Linked DNA regions of Oryzias latipes. The protein of the gene in region 2 purifies or fractionates together with the protein of the main gene of each other region. This does not show direct contact. Links are inferred from orthologs where the notes say so. Each region holds a gene or a part of one and is shown on either strand. Other genes may lie near its edges.

Region 1 (3,647 bases), on a different chromosome or scaffold from region 2:
ATGACAAAGGTGGATAGATTTCATGTAATCCATGGACACCAGTGAAGATCACAAATCATTGAAGAAAAAAGGTTCAGAGCACTGTCTAGTGGGTCTAGATGACCCAACTCCCAATGGTAAAGTGTCTAGGATAGCACAAGGGTTACATGTACAGAACAGATTAGTGGACACACATTTGTTTTATTATTAGTTGCTCATAATGGAGCGGATGATGACGTGTCTCACATGCTTCCTCTGACCGCACGTGTCTGATTGAAAAGTATTTTAATGAGGAATAAAAACCACAGAACCGACTCCAAACCCGCCCAAATCATGTCACCTGGCAACACTTCACCCACCTCCTCACAGGCTGGACCAGCTTGCTCCGGGGCACGGGGAGGCCTCCTCCTCCTCCTCCTGTTGAAGCGCTGGGTCTGGGCAGGCCGCTGCGCGGGGCTGCCAGGGAGCGGGTGGGGGTGGAGGTGGCCGAGTTGGGCATGGATGTGGCTTTGAGCGGCTGCTTCAGAGCCAGCGGCGATAAGGTGGCGGGACTTCTCAGCTTACTGGGAGAAAGGACTGCAGAGAGGCAGAACAGCAGTTTAACTGGAGCCCATACCATAATACTTCCTCCTTCATACTTTAGAAAAAATGATCTGCAAATGGAGCGAAAGCTGACGATGCGCCTGTTTGAACCACAAATGAGCACAGAAGCATGAAAGGTAAACCAAAACAAAGATGTCCGCCCGCTGAAACATGTGGTGCTGATAAAATAATGTGAACCAGAGCGTCAACACAACCAACAGCCAGACATCAACACAACCAACAGCCAGACATCAACACAACCAACAGCCAGACATCAACGCAACCAACAGCCAGACATCAACGCAACCAACAGCCAGACATCAACGCAACCAACAGCCACACATCAACGCAACCAACAGCCAGACATCAACGCAACCAACAGCCACACATCAACGCAACCAACAGCCAGACATCAACGCAACCAACAGCCAGACATCAACGCAACCAACAGCCAGACATCAACACAACCATCAGCCAGACATCAACACAACCATCAGCCAGACATCAACGCAACCATCAGCCACACATCAACGCAACCAACAGCCACACATCAACACAACCAACAGCCAGACATCAACGCAACCAACAGCCAGACATCAACGCAACCATCAGCCAGACATCAACACAACCATCAGCCAGACATCAACACAACCATCAGCCAGACATCAACACAACCAACAGCCACACATCAACACAACCAACAGCCAGACATCAACACAACCAACAGCCACACATCAACACAACCAACAGCCAGACATCAACACAACCAACAGCCAGACATCAACACAACCATCAGCCACACATCAACACAACCATCAGCCAGACATCAACACAACCAACAGCCAGACATCAACACAACCAACAGCCAGACATCAACACAACCATCAGCCACACATCAACACAACCAACAGCCAGACATCAACACAACCAACAGCCAGACATCAACACAACCAACAGCCAGACATCAACACAACCATCAGCCAGACATCAACACAACCATCAGCCAGACATCAACACAACCAACAGCCAGACATCAACACAACCATCAGCCACACATCAACACAACCAACAGCCAGACATCAACACAACCAACAGCCACACATCAACACAACCAACAGCCAGACACCAACACAACCAACAGCCAGACACCAACACAACCAACAGCCAGACACCAACACAACCATCAGCCACACATCAACACAACCAACAGCCACACATCAACACAACCAACAGCCAGACATCAACACAACCAACAGCCAGACATCAACACAACCAACAGCCAGACATCAACACAACCATCAGCCACACATCAACACAACCAACAGCCAGACATCAACACAACCAACAGCCAGACACCAACACAACCAACAGCCAGACATCAACACAACCAACAGCCACACATCAACACAACCAACAGCCAGACATCAACACAACCAACAGCCAGACATCAACACAACCAACAGCCAGACATCAACACAACCAACAGCCACACATCAACACAACCAACAGCCACACATCAACACAACCATCAGCCACACATCAACACAACCAACAGCCACACATCAACACAACCAACAGCCAGACATCAACACAACCAACAGCCACACATCAACACAACCAACAGCCACACATCAACACAACCATCAGCCACACATCAACACAACCAACAGCCACACATCAACACAACCAACAGCCACACATAAACACAACCATCAGCCACACATCAACACAACCAACAGCCACACATCAACACAACCAACAGCCACACATCAACACAACCATCAGCCACACATCAACACAACCATCAGCCACACATCAACACAACCAACAGCCAGACATCAACACAACCAACAGCCAGACATCAACACAACCAACAGCCAGACACCAACACAACCATCAGCCACACATCAACACAACCAACAGCCAGACATCAACACAACCATCAGCCACACATCAACACAACCAACAGCCAGACATCAACACAACCAACAGCCAGACATCAACACAACCAACAGCCAGACATCAACACAACCAACAGCCACACATCAACACAACCAACAGCCAGACATCAACACAACCAACAGCCAGACATCAACACAACCAACAGCCAGACATCAACACAACCATCAGCCACACATCAACACAACCAACAGCCAGACATCAACACACCCAACAGCCAGACACCAACACAACCAACAGCCAGACATCAACACAACCAACAGCCACACATCAACACAACCAACAGCCAGACATCAACACAACCAACAGCCAGACATCAACACAACCAACAGCCAGACATCAACACAACCAACAGCCACACATCAACACAACCAACAGCCACACATCAACACAACCATCAGCCACACATCAACACAACCAACAGCCACACATCAACACAACCAACAGCCAGACATCAACACAACCAACAGCCACACATCAACACAACCAACAGCCACACATCAACACAACCATCAGCCACACATCAACACAACCAACAGCCACACATCAACACAACCAACAGCCACACATAAACACAACCATCAGCCACACATCAACACAACCAACAGCCACACATCAACACAACCAACAGCCACACATCAACACAACCATCAGCCACACATCAACACAACCATCAGCCACACATCAACACAACCAACAGCCAGACATCAACACAACCAACAGCCAGACATCAACACAACCAACAGCCAGACACCAACACAACCATCAGCCACACATCAACACAACCAACAGCCAGACATCAACACAACCATCAGCCACACATCAACACAACCAACAGCCAGACATCAACACAACCAACAGCCAGACATCAACACAACCAACAGCCAGACATCAACACAACCAACAGCCACACATCAACACAACCAACAGCCACACATCAACACAACCAACAGCCAGACATCAACACAACCATCAGCCACACATCAACACAACCATCAGCCAGACATCAACACAACCAACAGCCAGACATCAACACAACCAACAGCCACACATCAACACAACCAACAGCCAGACATCAACACAACCAACAGCCAGACATCAACACAACCAACAGCCAGACATCAACA
Region 2 (3,647 bases):
GGCCAGCCAGTTGAGCGCCTCTGCCTGGTTTTTTGGGTTCTTCTGTGCAAATGCTAAAGAAACAAGCTGAAGCACAAAACAAAACAATCAAAAGTTAAAACCTTTAATGCAGCATCATGGTGAGTTTTCCCAGCATCTATTCGGACCTGTTCAGCCGTCCATGGAAGTGAGCAGGCCTCTCCAATCGCCGTCAGCCCCTCCTTTGCGTTTCCGCCACACTTGACATCTCCGACCTTATCCACCAACCCTTCCAAAACTACGCTGGCAGAGGTCTTGGAGAACTGGCCCCTCTGAGCGACGAGGGCCACAATATGCAGCTTCATCTGCATCACCTGCACAAGGTCACAGCAAGAGGTTGGTGCTTTGAATGTCCCTTACTACAACCACCAGTTCTGTCTCACCACATTAGAGAATAAGAGCATCAACATGCCTGAATACAAAACAGATCAGCTTTGGCAAAAATATTCATGCTGGAATGGCATTTAAAAATGGAAATGAGGATGAGAATAATGCACTCTTAGGTGCTGTGTTCCTTCTTAAATGATGAAAAGGTATTTTTGGTTAAACTGATCCACTAATGTTTAAAGCTAAAGAAAACACAGAAAGTATTAAGAAAAGAACTAATTTTATTACCAGTTTTGTCTTATAAAGGAATTCATCTTCTGAGGGTAGAGACAGTTACCTGAAAGTTTGTCTCTTTCCAGCCTGGTTTTTTAGCCAACATCCTGACCAGAGCCTGGCACGGCATTGTCACCGTATCCATGGTCTCCACAGCCTGCAAGAACACATTTGGCCACTGAATGTTGTTCTCACATGCCAATTCCTGGGACTGCAACAGAATGAGGACTTTACCTTCTGAAACTCCTCCATGCTGGCCAGTCTCTCCTTCCAGTTTGCTGAATCCAGAGCTTGCAGACAGTTTTCAGGAAGGACCCCAGCAGCCAGCTCCTCACACACCCCATCCTGACACACAGCATGTAGTTTAACAAGCACATTTCTAGCAAATTCGCCATTAACAACGACCCAGTGAACCGATGGATAAGAGTAATGAGTACAATGCTCTGAAAAAAACAAAAGCGTCGTCAAGGTGATGTGCAGTGAAGTACACATATATTTCAGCGTGTGTGAAAGCACAGATGCAGCGCTGCAGTGCAGACTGTTGTGCTGCATTCACACAAGGCGCGCTTCGCGCCTGCCGCCTCTTTCTTGACACAGGTCAAATTTACTGCTCGAACCCCGTCCTTGACGCCGCTGCCTCAGAGCAACCGCCAACTCATGGAAACCATGGATGATTGGGTTTATATGTTTTGGAGAGCTCTAAAGAGGCTCACAAGATCATTTAGAGTTGCTTCCGGTGCACTGCACTTCAGCACTGGGAATTGGACCTGGGTTACAGCAGTTTTAAAAGTTCCTTTCATCCGTCTGTGGCCCACTTTAAGCATTTACCCGAAAGAGGAAAAATAAAACTGGAGATTATTTTTTTATTACTGTCTTGATGAAAATAAGTAAAATATCATAAGGCCACGGAGCTGGAGTGATCGCCCGGTGTGCTAGCCAGCCGTACGGAGGACAGCATAACTATCTAGCAAGCTCCACTGCCCAGGGTTCGGCAGAGCAAACATGCACTACCACCCAGGGTTTGGCAGAGACGGCTGGTGATGTCAACCTAGGTGCTGGTCCCTGGGCAGCGGAGCTCGCTATGCCAGCCCACCAGCAGTCTGGTGCCCGGCAGATGGAGAGTCGCAGTGGGTGCCGCCATATCACATCGCCCAATCATTCCAGCTCCATGGGCTTATGCAGTTTTTCTTATTTTCATCAAGACAATAATACAAAGTTCCTCCAGTCATCGCGGAGGATCACGTACTGGATTACTATAGTATCCTTCAGATACTATGGTATTTATTGATAATGATTGTGGTTCTCATCAAAAACCCCTTTCATCTGTTGAACAGAAATAAACTCAGAGCTCTCCGCTGATTTATCTTTTAACGTATTCTGCTCCGGTGAGTTGAAATTCCACACAGACTCACCGATAGCTCAGCCTCCGTGACCTCTTTGACATCAGATGCCACTTTCTTTGCTTTTCCTCCAGAAGCTGGTTTGCCTTTTTTGGGTGGACCAGCTGATGGCTGGAGAAAAAATAAGTTGCATGATCTAAAGTTCAGAGCAGCAGGTTTCCAACAATCTGGATGTGTTGTTTTCTAAGTCTGTCCATACCTTGCTGGCTGCTGCACCAGAAGCTTTCTTAGTTGGAGCAGAAGTTTTTGGAGCCTCAGGAGGAGGGGCGGCTTTAGCTGCAGGTTTCTTTTCCACCGGTGCTCCTCCAGCACCCTTCTTCCCCCCAGGAAGCTCTACTTTATCAGCGCTCTCCTTTATCTGTTAGACAAAACCCACCGTTGGAAGGTTACAAATACAACAAACAGTCTCTGCTGCAATGAACCTCACCTTATCCAGTTTAAGTTTATCCAAATCAGCCAGGAAGGGGTTCACCGCCTTCTCTCCCACCACCTTCATGACTGTCCCCAGAGCTTCAAAGGCGGCGTCTCGGACCTCAGGGGCGGAGTCATTTACTTGCTGGGATGGTTTGAAGGAAAAACAAAAGTTAGTTTTCTTCTCTTTTAAGTGACAAGCCATTTCATAGTGATTTCTTATTCAAAAAGGAACAAAATGAATCGTGCAGGACATTTACCTTGATGAGAGCAGCACAGAAAGGCTTGAGGACACTCTTGGGCAGAGTGGCTTGCGAGCAGTGCCTGAAGGAGCGGGCCAGAAACAGGGAGGCCTGCTGCTTAATAGACGGGTTCTTGTTGTCCATCACAGCCAGGATGTCCTCTGACAGGTTCTGCAGAGTCGTCTAAAACAAGGGCATAGGCCTTATAGACAATCGGGTCTCTACAGATTTACGGAAATGATTAAAGACCCATTTAAGGCCATTTAATATCAAAATTAAGAACATGCAAGAAAATAATCATCTTAACAAACATGCAAAGATTAAAATATATAAGAACATGACAAAATGATGAACCAGAGTGAAGCACTTCTCAAATATTCTAAATCACACAATGGATATTAATTATTAATAGTATAATCAGAAAATGTTGCGCCAGCAAACATCTCCAGAAATATTTTTAAACCACTTCAAATCAAATCGTCTTTAGCTTATGCATGTGTAAAAATCAGTGATAAATATTAGGCGATTGCCAAATGTCATACAGCAGAGCATGAAACACGATTGTCGCTGCTTTCTGTTTTCAAAATAAAATGTCTCATCTGTTCCAATTATGCATTACCACAAAAATAATAATTCACATGGCAAACCCCATCTCCTCACAAAGATTTGTGTACTCTTACTGTGTAGTGTTGGAGTAGTTCAAATATAGCATTTTTGACTGAAGATATGGTAGAAGTGGTTAACTTTAAAGGTTGAATTCAAAGTCACCTTGGTGCATACATCTATCCCTTTTGGAGCTCGACGCAAAATGAAATGTTTAAAAAAAAAAGGAAAAAAGGGTGGGCATAGAGTAATCCTACTCTATAGAGTAACATTTATCAAATAACATACTGTAGATCTGTTTCCCATTATGCCTCCAGGTTTATTCCATTTAAAATCATTTTATTCCAAACCTTGATATTACAATGTATTGTCT
Region 3 (4,134 bases), on a different chromosome or scaffold from region 2:
AGTTCTATTCAACTGAAGTTTACAATAACACAGCAAATATGACAAGTAAAGTAAAACAAGGGAAACATAAAAATGAAAACCTGGGGTTAACCAAGTTGGTTTTACTAGCAAACACAACAACAAAGTGTGTATTATGTGTGTGTTTGTGTCCACAACAGTAATAAAATGTACCACCTACCTGGCACAATGGAGGGATGATTCTCCAAATCCTGTTTACAAAATAATAATAAACAGATCAATCTTCTTCTTGCGGTGCTCAAGAAAACCAATTTTAACCAATTTTAAAAACATTTCAACCAATTTTAAAGTCGAACCATCGTTTAGAGTTAAGTAATCTTGTTAGAAATGCGTAACTTTACAGCTTATTTCTTTCTGAACCTCCCATCATTACCGTGTAGTAAAGAACATCATGAAAAGCTTAGCTAACGATGGCGTCGGATTTAAATGGAAGCATAACAAATCCTAAACCAAGTAAAAAAAAAGGTACCTCTTCCGTTGGAAGTCATTGTTATAGATTGGCGTAGCAACCGTTAAAAAGTTAAAAACATCCCAATGGCGTGTGGATTAAAAAGAAAAAAGAACATCCGGCACTGTTTACACTCGGCAAATCTGGCGGGTTTATCCAATCAGTCTTCCTCGGCTTTTACGTTGGGTGGCAACCATCGTAAAAGGTGCTGGTTCGCCCCCTAATGGTAGTGTTGGTGTAAAAGGGTAATTATTTTTAACAGCACAGGCACACACAAAAATAATAAGTTACTCCTGCAACCTTTGAACTAAAGTGTTACCAAGTCGTATATTAAGCAGCTAGATTTAAAAGCGTGGGTCTTAAACAGCTTTAATTTTAAAATTCGGTCTATATTTTGTATGAGAAGTAATGCATATTGCTACACCCCAACTCTTTGAAAACAAAAGTTTGACAATATTTTTAAAGAGTTTTTTTTCTAAATAAATGGGATATTGTGTCTTAGCCTGGTCTTTTATTTTAGTTTTTTAGGTCTCTTTTATGAGGTCTTAAATGCGTAGCAAATCTGTACTGTGAGTAACTTATTTTGCCACCAAACGTTAAGCTTTAGAAATTAAAAAAATGTTTAGATGATAAATTTCTTGCAGCACAATACTATAAAATCACATTATAGTATGTGTTTTTATATCTACGGAGTTTTAAACTTGGTGCTCTGCTACTCCTAAAATGAAAATCCACTTTGCGTCATTTCCGGTCTTTGATCTGATTGGTTACTCGACCAGGAAGAGCGTCTGTTTGAACACTTTAAACCACGTTATTGGTGCGTTCGGAGACTTTTCAATTCCAAACGGCTGAAGCCCAGAAAAAGCTGGTGAGGGTTTTTCCAAAAGCAAATCCAGACAGGTCTACAACTGAATGTCTGCGTGAAAGAGATTGTAATTTTAAAAAACAGCCTTTTATTGTGAGGTAGGTGGAATAAAGAATTTCTGTCACGGCATTAGATAGCTTTTCTCAGAGTTTGTTGAATTGTTATTCATATCCTTTTACTAGCTAAACCGGCGTTGGCCAACGGTAGTTCTTGGCTTTTTCAAATGTTTATCTTTCATCAGGTTTAGTAAAGTTTAATCATAAAATATAAGACATAAACAATCTAACGAAATGTTAATATTTTTACGTTCACTTGCATAAAATGTATGGCTGCTTTTCTTTCTGTTAACATCCGTTGGATGTTTCGGACTACAGGCCGCATGTAGTCACACACTAATTAAAATGAAATCTTTCTGTTTTTCTGTGTTCGTATTTACACTTCTCTGACCACATTTTAGATTTTCTTATTGACTTCAGCAATAACTAATTATCCTTCAAACTCCGTCAAATTGTAATAGTAATAACAACTGCAGTTATCATCATCGTATATGTATTTATTCTTGTGTATTTGCACATCATGCTAGTGTAATGTATAATATCTCGTAAACGGGTTGTGGGGTTTTAAAATTGAAACTCAATGTTGTGATGTGGCCTCGACCTGAGAAGACCTATTGCAAAATTAACATTACCGCCCTCTAGTGGTTAAACACGATACTACTTAGTGTTATTTATTTATTTATTTTTTATTGTACATTTTTCAATTTACAGACATTCACAGTCACTTGCACAATAAACAATTGTTAATATCTAACACACATATAAGACCGAAAAAACAAAAAACAGTAATATTTTTAACAATGTGTGTACCTTTTTTTTTTTTTTTTTTTTTGTAGATGCTCATTTATTTTACAAGTTACTTTGAGATGTTTCGTCATTTGTTTTCTTGTATTTTCTAAATATGTTTTGTCACATTTTTTTTTACCCATAGTTTTTAATGATTTTATTGGTATTTTAATTTTTTATGAACACAATCTTAAGTGTTACTTTGCACTGTGGCAGCTTTTACAAATGACAGTGTTTTAATTCACTTAATTTAACTATCGTTATTTCTTAAAATTTTCAATGTTTCTTGTTAATTATTTAAGTTAGGTTTAATGCTATTACAACAGGGACATGTAATATTGATATAAATATTTAGAAAAAAGGTCCCATTTACTTGAAGTTGATTAAAATTTCAATTAACTTCATGACTTGATGTACACCATTGTATCCAGTTGACACTGGTGTTTTTACACAAATCAATGTTTCTAATTGCAACCAATGATCATTTTAAGCCAAAGTATGCAGTCTAACTTGCACATGCCCTTATTCTGGTAAAAACATCTGGTTGTGTGCATCACTTCCACATCTACAGTGTCTTATCAGCTGCGTACAGCTTTCATGTTTCCCCCCTGTCTGCAGACTGCATGTTCATTTGTTTTTCTGTTTTTGCAGGATGAGTCTTTCTGAAGTGAATGATGAGAACTGCGGGGTCTTCCCAGGTGGGAAACTTAACAGCTTGAATCAAGACATTTTTGCTCTTGATCAACCTACTGGGAGACCTTCTATCCTGCGTCAGACGGAGAACCTGCCCAACAAGGGTCTGCCAAAGGGGATAAAGGTACAGACTGATCTAGTTTGTGTATACGTTTCACTACAAGATGACAATCTCTATTATAGTTGACTCAATTTCTGTGCTCAGGTTTGTTTTCAGACCCCACGAAGAGACCCGTTAACCAAAAGAATTCTGTCCCCCAACAAATGTGCCACTATCTCAAACGTGGATGAGTTCTTAAATGTGGATACGTCAGAGTAAGTGACTGTCTTGGATCCCAGCGTGTCTCTAAATGAATAATTGTTGCACTGATGTAAGCAAGCCTGTTGTTTCTTTTGGCAGTACTTTATCAATGGAACGTGCTTTGCAGCCACCACAAGGTTCTTTTATCTTCTATTAAGTTATTTCCTTCAGTTTAGTCTCTGTTCTTGCAGTGAGGTTAACAGACCTTTTCTTTTTTTGACAGACCTGTCATCCTATCCTGATGATGACATGCCCATTCAGTGCAAAGGCGGCTACCAGTTGGATTATGACAACCTAGATGCGATTAATCCGTTTCAGGGGTCTAACATGATCCTCCTCTCCCCTGCGAAGCCTGTTGTGGACCATCCACCCGAGAATATCCAAGAGGAGCCAAATGTTGAAGATCTGAGACAAGATGACACACTTCCTTTCATACCATCCGTGGATAACTCCCTTGCTGATGTCAACATCAGCTCCACAGACAGCAGTGTGGTCATCGTGACTATGAACGAGACGGTTGAAGGGCAGGATGCCTGCGCGGCCTCATTTGATGAAGATCGAGCTGCTAACGTGCCTGCAAACTCTGATCTGAACAAACCCGGGAACACTTTTGAAGAGGACGCTCCACTTCCAGCCAAAGGTTCTTATAATTTCGATTTTGAAAACCTTGATGCTATCAACCCTTTTCAGATTGGGGGTTCTAAGATTCAGAATTCACCTGTTCTTGGGAGAAAGGTGCCAGATGATGGCGCACCTGCAGAAACAAACAAACCTGCAGCAGTGGTTTGTGTAGTGGAGGTTCCCCAGGAGGCGGCTGTCCACCCTGAGGCAAAACCCATAGCTGCAGTGGCTCCTGTATCGGCTAGTACAGCCAAGCCATCGCTACTTGCACCTGAGCCGGTCAGTGCTCTAGTCAAAGAAGGAGCAGTCAAACTGGAGTTTAGTTTTGGTGATGGCAGCGAGGTTA

What was found.
Region 1: the proteins of ckap5 (region 2) and slain2 purify together in Homo sapiens (affinity purification with mass spectrometry; 4 studies listed by BioGRID and IntAct, counting the BioPlex papers as one, with this or other methods). This does not show direct contact. The link is inferred for Oryzias latipes from reciprocal best matches to the Homo sapiens genes CKAP5 and SLAIN2.
Region 3: the proteins of ckap5 (region 2) and tacc3 purify together in Homo sapiens (co-immunoprecipitation; 5 studies listed by BioGRID and IntAct, with this or other methods). This does not show direct contact. The link is inferred for Oryzias latipes from reciprocal best matches to the Homo sapiens genes CKAP5 and TACC3.

Annotation. Positions count from the first base shown.
Region 1 is NC_019862.2:1,207,827-1,211,473, reverse strand, and holds part of slain2 (SLAIN motif-containing protein 2), read right to left. Parts: intron 556-3,647; coding exon 339-555; intron 1-338.
Region 2 is NC_019864.2:27,061,262-27,064,908, reverse strand, and holds part of ckap5 (cytoskeleton-associated protein 5), read right to left. Parts: intron 2,855-3,647; coding exon 2,690-2,854; intron 2,575-2,689; coding exon 2,446-2,574; intron 2,377-2,445; coding exon 2,218-2,376; intron 2,130-2,217; coding exon 2,031-2,129; intron 964-2,030; coding exon 853-963; intron 776-852; coding exon 683-775; intron 333-682; coding exon 147-332; intron 67-146; coding exon 1-66. UniProt on the Homo sapiens protein: Binds to the plus end of microtubules and regulates microtubule dynamics and microtubule organization. Acts as a processive microtubule polymerase. Promotes cytoplasmic microtubule nucleation and elongation. Plays a major role in organizing spindle poles.
Region 3 is NC_019880.2:12,228,399-12,232,532, forward strand, and holds the start of tacc3 (transforming acidic coiled-coil-containing protein 3), read left to right. Parts: upstream 1-1,227; 5' UTR 1,228-1,429; intron 1,430-2,824; 5' UTR 2,825-2,825; coding exon 2,826-2,990; intron 2,991-3,071; coding exon 3,072-3,181; intron 3,182-3,266; coding exon 3,267-3,304; intron 3,305-3,390; coding exon 3,391-4,134. Other genes in the region: kinesin-like protein KIF15, read right to left, coding at 179-209, 488-506. UniProt on the Homo sapiens protein: Plays a role in the microtubule-dependent coupling of the nucleus and the centrosome. Involved in the processes that regulate centrosome-mediated interkinetic nuclear migration (INM) of neural progenitors.